Coturnix japonica: one gene and its partners. The main gene of each other region encodes a partner of the protein of the gene in region 3 in a complex. Links are inferred from orthologs where the notes say so. Each region holds a gene or a part of one and is shown on either strand. Other genes may lie near its edges. The genes, in order: RUVBL1, ASDURF and PDRG1.

Region 1 (4,196 bases), on a different chromosome or scaffold from region 3:
CTTGACAGGCTGAGGGAGTTGGGTTTGTTCAGCCTAGAGAAGAGAAGGTTGCGGGGTGACCTCATTGCAGCCTTTCAATACCTGAAGGGAACTTACTCCCAGGAGGGGAGTAAACTCTTCGAAAGGGCTGATAATAGCAGGACACGGGGAAACGGTTTTAAGTTAAAAGAGGGAAGATTTAGATTGGATGTTAGGGGGAAGTTCTTTACTAGGAGAGTGGTTCGGCCCTGGAACAGGCTGCCCAGGGAGGTTGTGGATGCCCCGTCCTTGGAGGTGTTCAAGACCAGGTTGGACGGGGCCCTGGGCAACCTGATCGCCTAGTAAACGCGTTGGTGATCAGATTTGGTGGCCGCTTCAGCTCAGGCGAGGGGGGTTGGAACTACAATGAATCCTTAGAGGTCCCTCCAACCCGGCCGTCATTCTGTCGATTCTGAATTGACGCATACCCAGAACGCCGTGCGCCAGATGTGGTAACTGCAGGGATGGTGGCAATCAGGCCATAGTGCCATGGGTCCGTGGTTGGATATTACGATGAAACACTCATGGCAATCTTTCCAACCTTAACTAATTCCATGAGTCATCTCCTCGCCCAGAATCTACCAACAGAGAAGAACGCACTGGATGGCAGCCAGGCTCTGAAACGCCCTCTGAGATTTCACAGCATTTCCACCCCAAGCACTGATGGACCACATAAGAGGTGCAGTAACACTACAGCAGAGCCCACAGCCATGGTGGTGGGAGATCTGTTACATGAGGGAGCTCTGAGGGTGTGGAGATGAGACACGACCCCCCGAACAACTGTTTTCCCCCCTCAGTTTATCAGTACTCTCGACGTGGGGAGGAGCTGTCCGTCGCTATATTATACTGTTATAAAAAAGGCGAAGTTAAAGGCTCAGATATTGCCGTGGGCACGTAAAACGTAAATAACTGCTGGTTAAAAATTAACCAGCAGTGGTTAAATTAACACACTGGTAAAGGCAGGACGACAGCAAAGCCCACCCAAAGGCTCGGCCCCTGCTCGGTCCCGGCCCATCTCCCCACACCCACCCTCCCCCGCACCTCGCCGCCGCACGCCGGACCGCTTTGAGTCGAGAGCGCAGCCGACGGAATGCGGCGACAGACGGCCCACACACTCTCAAATATGTATCGCCAGGCCCGCCGCTGCAGCTCGTCCGGTGAACAGGTCACGCCTAACCGCAGACACCATCACAACAGCCGCGCGAGGCGCGGCAGACGCAGGGCCAATTGACGAGACGCGCGGGAGCGGGGGAGCCCGAGGAGGCCGCGCGCCGGCGTAGGCCTTGGTAACGCGCGGGCCGCGTGATGCGCGGGTGGACGTGAGGGAGAAGGGAGACCCGTGGCGCCGATGAAGATCGAGGAGGTGAACCGAGCAACCTGCGACAGACGCATCCGCGGCAATCCGCAGCACAACAGCCTGTTAACTGGGCCCTCCGGGGGCTGCGACGAGACGGCGGCACTCCGCCAAACCGGCGGGCCGCCGCGCCTGGTGCGGACAGGAGAACGCGCGGGAGGTGAGAGATGGGCCCCTGCACCTGGCGCACTGCTCGCGGGCTGGCACGGCCGCCGATCATAGAGCGCCAGGCCCGGGCTGTGAGATTCGCCCGTTACTACTCGCTGGATTGTCGGATAAACGATCTACAGGGTTTTAAGGCTCCACTTCAAAGATTGGTGCCCGTGAGGTGGTGCAGGGCCCAGCCAAGTCCGCCTGCTCCGCTCGCGACAGGCCGGGTGGGGGTTTGTCACAGAATGACCCGGGTTGGAAGGGACTGGACTCAAGGATCATGTTTCAACCCCCTGCCGTGGAAGGGCCACGCAAAATCATATATCACCTTTACTAGATCAGGTTGCCCCGCAACAGGTCCGCCGTCAGCAACGCTGGGTCACTTGACAAGCACCTCCAAGGTATGGGGCAGTCCACAACCTCCCTGGGCAGCCTGGTTTCGCAGGGCCCTAACCTGAACTCTCCTAGTGAAGAACTTCCCCCTAACATCCAACCTAAATCTTCCCTCTTTTAACTTCAAACCATTTCCCCGTGTCCTGCTATTATCAGCCCTTTCCAAGAGTTTACTCCCCTCTTGCTCTGTTTTTAGGCTTTGATACCTGCGTGCAGCTCTGCAAGGGGAAAAAGATCCCCAGCTCTTTGGTTTGAGTTCTGTTTGATTTATTTCTTTAATGTGCCAGATACAGGGACTGCAGGAAGTGATTTCTTTCTTACCTCACTCCTATGTATAACATTGAACTGCAGTTTAATTTTGGCACCTCAGAAGATCAGTAGTTCTAAACACTTCTAGTATCACTGGAATTAAATGTATTTTAACAGTACTCTTGTTAATGGTGCCAACCCTTATCCTGCAGGCTTGTGGGGTTATAGTAGAGCTCATCAAAAGCAAGAAGATGGCTGGCAGAGCTGTCCTGTTGGCAGGACCTCCTGGAACTGGCAAGGTATCCTGATATTTTTATTTTCCTTTTCTTGCAAGAAATAAAACCTTCTGAAATCCGCTGTAATTTAACGTGCTGCCACAAGCATTTTAGAATAGCGGTTATATATTGTCTTCATCTGCTGTTGTGTTTTTTTTCCTCCATTAAGGTATTGACACAGTCTCCTGTTTTGTGTTTAATTTTTGCCACGTCATTAGCACTGGCAGCATCCTCTGGTTTGTGCAGCCATCATTAGTGCGAAAGCACCTAATATAGGTTGCCAAACACAGAGGCAGGACAGTTTCTGATTAGTCTTATAAGTTAATTCGATATTAAAAGCCTAAATAGTTATTCTTTTTAGTTGTTTTTCCCTTTCCATCTCATTTCTATAAGATGTTAAATTCAGAAGTCCACTATCATTCCTTTACAGTGTTTATAAGTCATTGGTAGAAGTCACCTTATGCGTGTCTAATTTGTTTTGGTGGGAGATGTTTGTTATATGTGAGAGATGTCAGAGCAGTTATAATATAGTATATATATGTATATATATATATAATACTATAGTATAGTAGTAGTAGTTGATAGAGTGAAGGTGATACGATGAGGAAAGTTAACTTAGTGCAGAAAGAATCCTCATAAAAATGAAATGCTTAATTTCTTTTTCCATTTTTAAAGACTGCCTTGGCTTTAGCTATTGCTCAGGAACTTGGCAGTAAAGTTCCCTTTTGTCCTATGGTTGGAAGTGAGGTCTATTCTACTGAAATCAAGAAAACAGAAGTTCTGATGGAAAACTTCAGACGAGCAATTGGTAAGTTTCAGAAAAACAGAAACGTTTTTATGTGATACTTACATTGTTTTTTCTAGTGATCTGAAAAGGAAAAATCTTGGTGGTCACGGTGGTTTCCAGAACATGATGTGAACTTTTCTTCAATGCTGATCTTAAACTGGGGAATCTCTCCCACACTTAGTAGAGTCAGTAAGGTTTTCTGGATATAAATGCTTGTGTCCCACAGATATTTTTACTTACTCTCCTCCCCCAGGATCTCTTCTTGTCCTCCAGGTTCCACCTCCTGATGCCACCTGTGACACTCCAGAAATCTGAAAGAAAATCTGTTTTTAGTTTCTTACATTAGCAGAAATGCTTATAGACAGCAAAATGCTTTCCCTTGTACTTTAGTGATTCCACCTTGCTGAGCAAGCAGCCTTCTCGAGGGGTTCCCAAGTGGCAGCATTAGCCTGGCTCAGTGTTCCAGTGAGCACAGAGGAAGTTCCATGCCAGCAAAATAAATAATATCTTCAATATCTTCCTCAATTCTAGAGTGCTTTTACAAAGTCAACGTAAATTGGGTAAATTTGCAACGCGACCTCACTAAGTAGTTAAAATCTCTTTTATGATCTCTGCTGACAGCTGATAAATGCGGTTAAAATGGCCCTTGTTTGTGTAAGGATTGCCTAAAGATGACCTAACTGAAAAACTGAACTTATTAACAGTTAATTTCCCTGATTTCTCTGCCGTGTTTCCTCTCTGACTTCATCTGAGTATCTGGGGGTGGTGAAGAGGTCTCTCAGTTCTGCAACCAAGTAAAAGTATTCCATTCATTTTCATAAGAAAAACCTTCAGTAGTCTCTGGTCTAGTTACCATGAATCTGGCAGGGCCTGGGGGATGGAAGCCAAAGACTGAGCAGTCTGCAATATTTCCTTGATGTGATGAAGTACCCTGTCAGAGATCTGGAAACTTGAACCAACAGATGAAACT
Region 2 (4,117 bases), on a different chromosome or scaffold from region 3:
TCCTATGTCAGATATCTCTTACACTTCCATCTGCTACAACCTTTCATAGCATCTCAAGCTCTTACTGTACACTTACCAATTTCACTTGCACATGAAGAAATAGCAAGTTGGACCTTGCCGTGTATCAGCCCGTCCAGACGCTCTCCATGCCTTTCCACACAGTGGATTTACAGCAGTCTCCTTCCTTCACTGAGGGCTACACAGGCTGGACGTGCAGCATTTCTGTTCTACTCATAATGTCAGCACTGTCTCACACGATGTGTCGTACTCTTTTAGTCCTACTGTTTAAGTGTATTTTGGAACAGCCAGGTTGAGCCGTCTCATCTCATTGATTCTGTTTCCACACCAAGAAGACACACTGCTACTTGCATCCTAAGCTAAAGCACTACTACTACTTGGAAGATGGCACAGAAGGATGAAGCATTCACTTATCATCTTTGGTTAATGTAGCAAGACAGATAATGAAGGTTCCAACAGAATCATAGAATGACCCGGGTTGGAAGGGACCTCAAGGATCATGTAGTTCCAACCCCCCTGCCTGGCAGGGCCACCAAACATACACCTTTACTAGATCAGGTTGCCCAGGGCCCCGTCCAACCTGGCCTTGAACACCTCCAAGGACGGGGCATCCACAACCTCCCTGGGCAACCTGTTCCAGGGCCTAACCACTCTCCTAGTGAAGAACTTCCCCCTAACATCCAACCTAAATCTTCCCTCTTTTAACTTAAAACCATTTCCCCGTGTCCTGCTATTATCAGCCCTTTCGAAGAGTTTACTCCCCTCCTGGCAGTAAGTTCCCTTCAGGTACTGAAAGGCTGCAATGAGGTCACCCCGCAACCTTCTCTTCTCCAGGCTGAACAAACCCAACTCCCTCAGCCTGTCCTCATAGGGGAGGTGCTCCAGCCCCCTGATCATCTTCCTGTCCCTCCTCTGGACCCTTTCCAAAATCTCCATGTCTTTTTTGTACTGAGGGCTCCACACCTGGACACAGCACAACAGATGAGTAGAGCTCAAGCAGGGGACTAACGGGAAATGTCTCCATGAATCAAAATACTATCAAAGATCCGACAACAAGGCAGCCGGTACTGAAGGAAAATGGTCTCATTGCTCCACAGCCACTACGGCCATAACTCCACCTCAGCCATACGCGCCTAACAGCCGCTCTGCTGTACGCATGCGCAGTCGCTGCAGTTGTTTGGAGCCCACAGCGTGAGGCGCAGCCGTTGTGCGTATATTGCTGTGCGACGGCAGCGGCCGGCACTGCGAGCTGGGGATGTCGCGGCGGGAGGAGGAGGAGAGCGCCGAGCTGGGCCGTAAGGAGGAGCTGAGCCGGAGGGTGAGTTATGGAGGGTCTGAGGTGCTGCCCTGCGTCTCATAGTTGTGTGTGGGAAGGAGGAGGGTGTGCTGGAGGCTGAGCTGCGCTGTGGCCCAGGTGAAGGTGTGGGGGAGCTCGAGTGTTGTGAGCCCTTCTGGCGAGTTCCCTTCCCGTTTTTAGTGTTGTGAGATGGGCTGTGTGTGATTAGTCGAAGGAGAATGTGGTTCTCTGGGTTTGTTGAGCAAGTCGTGAGGGAGTTTAGTGAGGAGGCCAGCTTTAAAGCTGGGCTTTTCGTAGTGGCAGTCTTGTCTTTGTTCAGTGTGAGTTCTGTACAGTCCTGGTCAGTTGTCCTCGCATAAAAAGTGACTTTATTCTTCTACACTAATATCGCAATAGATTAGTGTTGTTCTCTAGTTGATTGGTTACATAAGAGACTAAAGAGAGCAACTGCATCAGCACAACACAGCGTATTAGCTGCGTGGCTGAAATGCCTGGTTCTGCTTTGCATCACAAGACTGCACTGTGTTCTTGTCTGTTTCAATAACTATCATAGTATGCTGTTGTAGCTGTTGGTGAAACAGCATTTTCTCAGTTCAGTTTGCCTTATACAGCCCTGTAGTTATTTCCATCTGCGCCAATTCCAGGAGGCAGAAAGGAGGACCGGAGTAAGGTGTGTTCTGTGCTTACAGAAAGTAGTGTGTGTTGAACCACTTTAGCTTTGTGTTTCAGCTTTTTTGATGGGCCCTGATTGCTCTTTGTCTTTAATGGCTCTTTGTCTTTAGTGGCTGACGTTGTCCAGGGAAGCAGGAGCATTGGACTGTTTGTGTCAGTGCAGCTGAACTGATGGCGGTAGATGCAGCATGACAACTTTGTGCTAAAAGTCCAGTGTACTGGAAGTGTTTCTAATTATCTTAATACAGTTTTGGGGTTGTTTTATACATATTTATTTATTTGGGGGGGGGGGGGGGGGTTATTGGTTATGTAGGTTTTTAATTGTTTCATTTACTGTTTTCATTTTGAATCTGGAGAATAAGATTATAAAGTGTATTGTGTAGGTAAATCTTTTCTCTAAGTTGCGTAATCACAGAATTATCAAGGTTGGAAAAGACCTAGAAGATCATCTAGTCCAACCGTTACCAATACTTCCCAGCTAAATCATATTCATCAACACAACATCCAGACGTTTCTTGAACACTCCCATGGTCGGTGACTCCACCACCTCCCTGGGCAGTGCATTCCAATGCCTGACTACCCTTTCTGAGAAGTAATACTTCCTAATGTTCAGCCTGAATCTCCCCTGGCACAGCTTAAAACCATTCCCTCTAGTTCTGTCATCTCTTACATGAGAGAAGAGGCCAACCCCCAGCTCACTACAACCTCCCTTCAGGAAGTTATAGAGAGCTATAAGGTCTCCCCTGAGCCTCCTCTTCTCCAGGCTGACAAATGTTAATAGTTGTTTATACGTTTGTTTTTTTGGGGGAGGTTGAGGGTGAAGTGATTTTGGATTCTGAGCAGCGAGGAGTACTCTGGCTTCCCAGTAATGACTGCTTTGGGGGGATGGGAACAGTGTCAACCATGCAAGATAATTCCCTTCCAAAGCAGTTATTTAGAGTGCTTCATTGTCTTATTGTTGAATTCATAACTTAGATTTCAATAAGAAGTGTGTTAAATGTAATTCAGTTATGTGGTCCGAAGACTTGTTGTATGCTTGGAATAATGGGTAATGAAATTTCTTTTTCATTCCTGTGTCCACTTTCATTTTAGTGGTCTGTTCAGGGCACAGTGACTTATATTTTTATAGCTGTCTTAAAAACATGGGTAAAGATTTTAATCTCCAGGACTGCAACACAGTAGTTTATTGTTGACAATTATATTGAGATGTGTTTTTTCTCTTTCAGATTAAGGAACAGAAGGTTGTAGTTGATGAGCTTTCGAATTTGAAGAAGAACAGGGTAAGCATTAAAGTTTTTTCTGCTTACTTCATTTTAGCATCAGATAAATTTGTATAGAGGCAAGAGGGCAAACAAAATTGCAGTGAGTACATTATCTTTAGTTGTTACACTAAAGATTTTAATGTGTATATGATCTTCTGTATGGTGTCAAAATGTTGTCTACATCGCTTGAGGGTTTACTTACACTTGTGCATTGTAACAGGAAGCTGTCTCAAGGTTTTACTTTAGCACAATTTTTATATTATGATGTTTGAGTGGATCAGTTTATGTTAAAAGCTTCTTTATTTTTCATGTGCATATGATGTAAAACAAAATATGACCCTTTAAGTATGAGGAAAGGAGGAAAATGCAGAATGGTTGTGGGTTGTTCCTGAAATGTTTTGGTGCGACATGAGGACATTGCTCATGGCAGAGAAGGTATCTTTCAGACATAAAAGGGAAGGGTATCTCAGTGGACTTCAGTGAGTTTCTGCTGCAGTGTGGTTGCCTGTGTATGCTACTTTTACTTAATGTGGTGTTGTATTTATTTTACAGAAAGTTTATAGGCAGCAACCCAATAGCAACATATTCTTCCTTGTAGACCGAACAGAAACACTGTCTCAATGCAAAAGTAAGTTTGCTGCACCAAAGGTAATAGTTCAACTGTTTAAAAGCTGTCTCTGTAGCTGTTGAAGATTTCCAAGTTGTAGTACAGTGGGAAAGCTGGCAACTGCATGTTAAATACCAAGTGGACTTCAGTTGTGCCTGCTTTTCTGGGCTGAATGAATGTGGTTCCCACTTGATTTGCATGTGTGGTAAAACAGCATGTGCTGAAGATACAGGAGGGAGTCCTTCCACAGAGGAGTCGCTT
Region 3 (3,525 bases):
CGAGGTGACTGTGGTTTGATGTCTGATTTATCTTAACAGCAGACCCTGGCAATCACAGGGAAAGATGAGAAGGAAAAAAAACCCACCCCATAAACATCCCTGAAGCCTTCCTGTGCAGCTGTCAGCAGGCAGGCAGGGAGGGTTCTGAGCTGCATAAATGAAAGTGATTCAAGGAAGAAAGAAAAAGGAACGTGCTGAAACCCAGACCTTCCCTTTACGCCACAAAATACAGACAGATGCAAACCATCCCATAGCAGCGAGTGGATGACCACATGCTCTGTCTGCACAGACAGGTTCCCAGGAGGGCACATAAACATGCAATCAATCTGAACGAGCCTCCAGCCTTCAGGCTGAGTCCAGCTTCCAGGCAAGCAGCTTTCCTACGGCGCCGGGTCCAGGAGAAGGAAGGCTGTGATGATTTGCATCTGGCTCAGGGCCTGCTGTGGGAGAGGCCTGCAGAGCATGGCACCAGCAGCCATCGTTGCCTTGGGAATGTTTTCCAGGTGCCCAAAGCTTTGTGATGCCTCCTGCCACAGCTCAGCTGCAGCTCTCATGCAACCCTCTGTGTGGCCACGGTAAACCCACAGCCTTTATTTTGCTGTGAGCTGCTGAGTAGCACTGCCTGCTTCAGGGGTGGACATCAGGCTTCTCTCTGCTACTGCTATCACGTAGAATGTGATGGCTCGAGGTGGAAGGGACCTCAAGGATCATCGAGCTCCAAGTCCCCGCTAGGACGGGGTTGGATGCAGACGGGCAGTGCTCATTTCCACCACTTCACTGGGCACCTTCTTCTTTCAGCACACTCTGCCACAGACCGAGATCTCTCCCGTTAACTGTCACAAACGACTTTACGAGATTAAGGCCGGTAATCTTCCGATCTGCTTAATCTTCCTCTGGGGATTATTTGCGCACCAAGAGCTTCGCTCCTGGCAGCCACAGAACCACAGAACACCCCAGGATGGAAGCAATGACTGAACCCAACCCTCAGCTCCACCAGGGGAGCCCTGAAATCTCACCCCGTGTTTCAGAGCCGCCCCACAGCACTGCCCGGCCGATTCACATACAGAACCACAGAATGAGCCGGGTTGGAAGGGACCTCAAGGATCATGTAGTTCCAACCCCCCTGCCTGGCAGGGCCACCAAACATACACCTTTACTACATCAGGTTGCCCATGGCCCCGTCCAACCTGGCCTTGAACACCTCCAAGGACGGGGCATCCACAACCTCCCTGGGCAGCCTGTTCCAGGCCCTAACCACTCTCCTAGTGAAGAACTTCCCCCTAACATCCAACCTAAATCTTCCCTCTTTTAACTCAAAACCATTTCCCCGTGTCCTGCTATTGTCAGCAATTGACACTGCAATTCCCGCAGTGTCCACACGGGGGCGCTCTACGCGGAACTCCGGATCGCGGCCGCTGCTGCCGCCCGGCGGGGAGCGGGGATGGGACGGGGCGGAGCGGCCCGACATGGCGCGGGACCCAGCGTTTGTGCTGCGCTACCTGGCCGAGGTGGAGGAGCTGGCCGAGGACGTGCTGGCCGCACGGCAGCAGGTGAGACCCGACCCGGTTCGGCCCGACAACCCCCGACCCCCCCCTTTATCCCCATCCCCTCCCGTCTCTTTGCAGATCGTCGATCTGGACGTGAAGCGGAACCGGAACCGCGAGGCGCTGCGGGCGCTGCTTAAAGACCCGGAGCCGGACGGTGAGTCCCGGAGCTCGGCCGGGATCGGGGCGGTGTGTGCGGGGCACAGCGCTGAGCACGGCTGGTCCTCACTGCAGGGAAAGCCATGGTGTGCTTCGGGAGCACCTTCATCGAGCTGCACAAGGCCAAGGCCAAGGAGATGCTGCAGAGCGGTACGGAGGGATCTGCTCACCCCGAGGAGCTCGGAGCTAAAACAGAGCAATGCTGCCATCCTGCCCTGCTCACACAGCCCGGCAGGGTCTCTGTTGGTCCCTTGTTCAACCCCAGTCCCCATGTCATGGGTTAACCCCCCTTATTCTTGCCCTGCTATTTTCAGATCAGGAACAGCTGGATGAGGAGATAAACAACCTCCGGAAAGAGCTGCGTGTGAAGGTCAACCGTCTCTTTGAAGCTCAAGGTAAAACACTCCTGGTCTTGAACCCCAACAGCAAAGGTCTGGCTGCAGATGCTGGGGAGAAGTCAATGTGTGAGTGCTGCCGGGGCTGCTCCTCCTCTCACTCTGTCATTCCCTCCCTACCCTGGTAAAGCTGTCAGCCAGCAGCGTGCTGGATACACACAGCAACGACCAGGGTGGATAGTAGGAACAATTGGTTCTCCATCACCATCCCTGCAGGCATCCCAGCACCGCAGGGATGTGGCACTGAGGGATGTGGGCAGGGTTGGGTTTCATGATCTCAGGGCTCTTTTCCAACCTTCACGATGCTGAGAGCCATCATTGCTGCGTGGTTTCACATGGAATGCTTCATGTGTCTTATAGCAAAACCCCAACGTTCTGCACATCCCTACAGGTAAACCTGAGCTGAAGGGATTTAACCTGAACCCCATGAGTGCAGAGGAAATGAAACTGATCAATCGCATCCTGGAAGGTTGAGACAGCCCTGCCACCACCACAACCGTGTGCAAGCACTGCTCAGCCTGCGGTGGTCGGGTATCACTCACAGCATTTGCACTGCATCAGACACAGCCTGTAGGATTTCCAGCTCTCCTGCATTGCTGGAGCCTCTCCTAAAGAACCTGGTGGGCACAGGGAAGGATACAGCTCCTCAGCTGTAATTCTGGCTGTAAACTCTCCCCACTCCTTGCTGCCGGTGGCAGAGCAGTGCTGAGGCAACTGCTGGAACAGTGGCTTATTCACAGCCTCTGACAAACACCCGCCTGCAAGGGGGATTATTAAAACCAGCACTGTGGGGCATTCCTAACTCTGTGTGTGTGTGTTTGTTGTTGGGTTTGTTATGTGAGAGCTTCTGTAGTTTGGCTGCAGAGCGAGTTCACTGCAGTGTCAGGAACAGAAGTAGGAGGAATTGTAAATGTACAGCGTGCCCAGAGTATAGAAGAGCTGTGTGTGCCTGTGGTATTAAAATGAAATGAAACCCGTGCATCTGAAACACGTCAGGAATCTCCTGAGAGATGCGTAGGGAGGAACAGAAGGCAGCAGCGTGTTTGTCTCAATGGGAAAACACAGGCTGCTGTCAAGGTGGGAGCCAAGAGAATACAGAAAAATAAGGCTCTCAAAACAGGATGAAAGAATAAAATGGACACATATTAGCAAAAACTGCAGCTTGAACAGGCTGGATTTGGCCTGTAGCAATGGGATAACTGATTTAAGTCATAATAGTTTTGGCAGAGGTCATAAAATCAGCTCTGGCTCTCCAGGTAGCTCATCTGCTCTCCACTTCAGGCTTAAGTTAGAGATGCACAGACTGAAAGTAATGTTAACTTAGTATCTGAGGCACCTTACATCTGTTCTGGAAGTGAATGGCAGTACAGTGCCAAGCACCCGTGTTATAACTGCACTCTTACATAACCTGCATAGTACAGCCAGGA

The links.
Region 1: PDRG1 (region 3) and RUVBL1 share a complex: the UniProt entries of both Homo sapiens proteins name them as parts of the PAQosome complex. The link is inferred for Coturnix japonica from reciprocal best matches to the Homo sapiens genes PDRG1 and RUVBL1.
Region 2: PDRG1 (region 3) and ASDURF share a complex: the UniProt entries of both Homo sapiens proteins name them as parts of the PAQosome complex. The link is inferred for Coturnix japonica from reciprocal best matches to the Homo sapiens genes PDRG1 and ASDURF.

Annotation. Positions count from the first base shown.
Region 1 is NC_029527.1:7,146,696-7,150,891, forward strand, and holds the start of RUVBL1 (ruvB-like 1), read left to right. Parts: upstream 1-1,281; 5' UTR 1,282-1,532; intron 1,533-2,376; 5' UTR 2,377-2,415; coding exon 2,416-2,463; intron 2,464-3,114; coding exon 3,115-3,247; intron 3,248-4,196. UniProt on the Homo sapiens protein: Possesses single-stranded DNA-stimulated ATPase and ATP-dependent DNA helicase (3' to 5') activity; hexamerization is thought to be critical for ATP hydrolysis and adjacent subunits in the ring-like structure contribute to the ATPase activity.
Region 2 is NC_029522.1:4,422,825-4,426,941, reverse strand, and holds the start of ASDURF (ASNSD1 upstream open reading frame protein), read left to right. Parts: upstream 1-1,206; 5' UTR 1,207-1,273; coding exon 1,274-1,336; intron 1,337-3,213; coding exon 3,214-3,267; intron 3,268-3,801; coding exon 3,802-3,877; intron 3,878-4,117.
Region 3 is NC_029535.1:8,958,122-8,961,646, forward strand, and holds PDRG1 (p53 and DNA damage-regulated protein 1), read left to right. Parts: upstream 1-1,392; 5' UTR 1,393-1,466; coding exon 1,467-1,550; intron 1,551-1,625; coding exon 1,626-1,701; intron 1,702-1,778; coding exon 1,779-1,853; intron 1,854-2,017; coding exon 2,018-2,098; intron 2,099-2,489; coding exon 2,490-2,572; 3' UTR 2,573-2,900; downstream 2,901-3,525. UniProt on the Homo sapiens protein: May play a role in chaperone-mediated protein folding.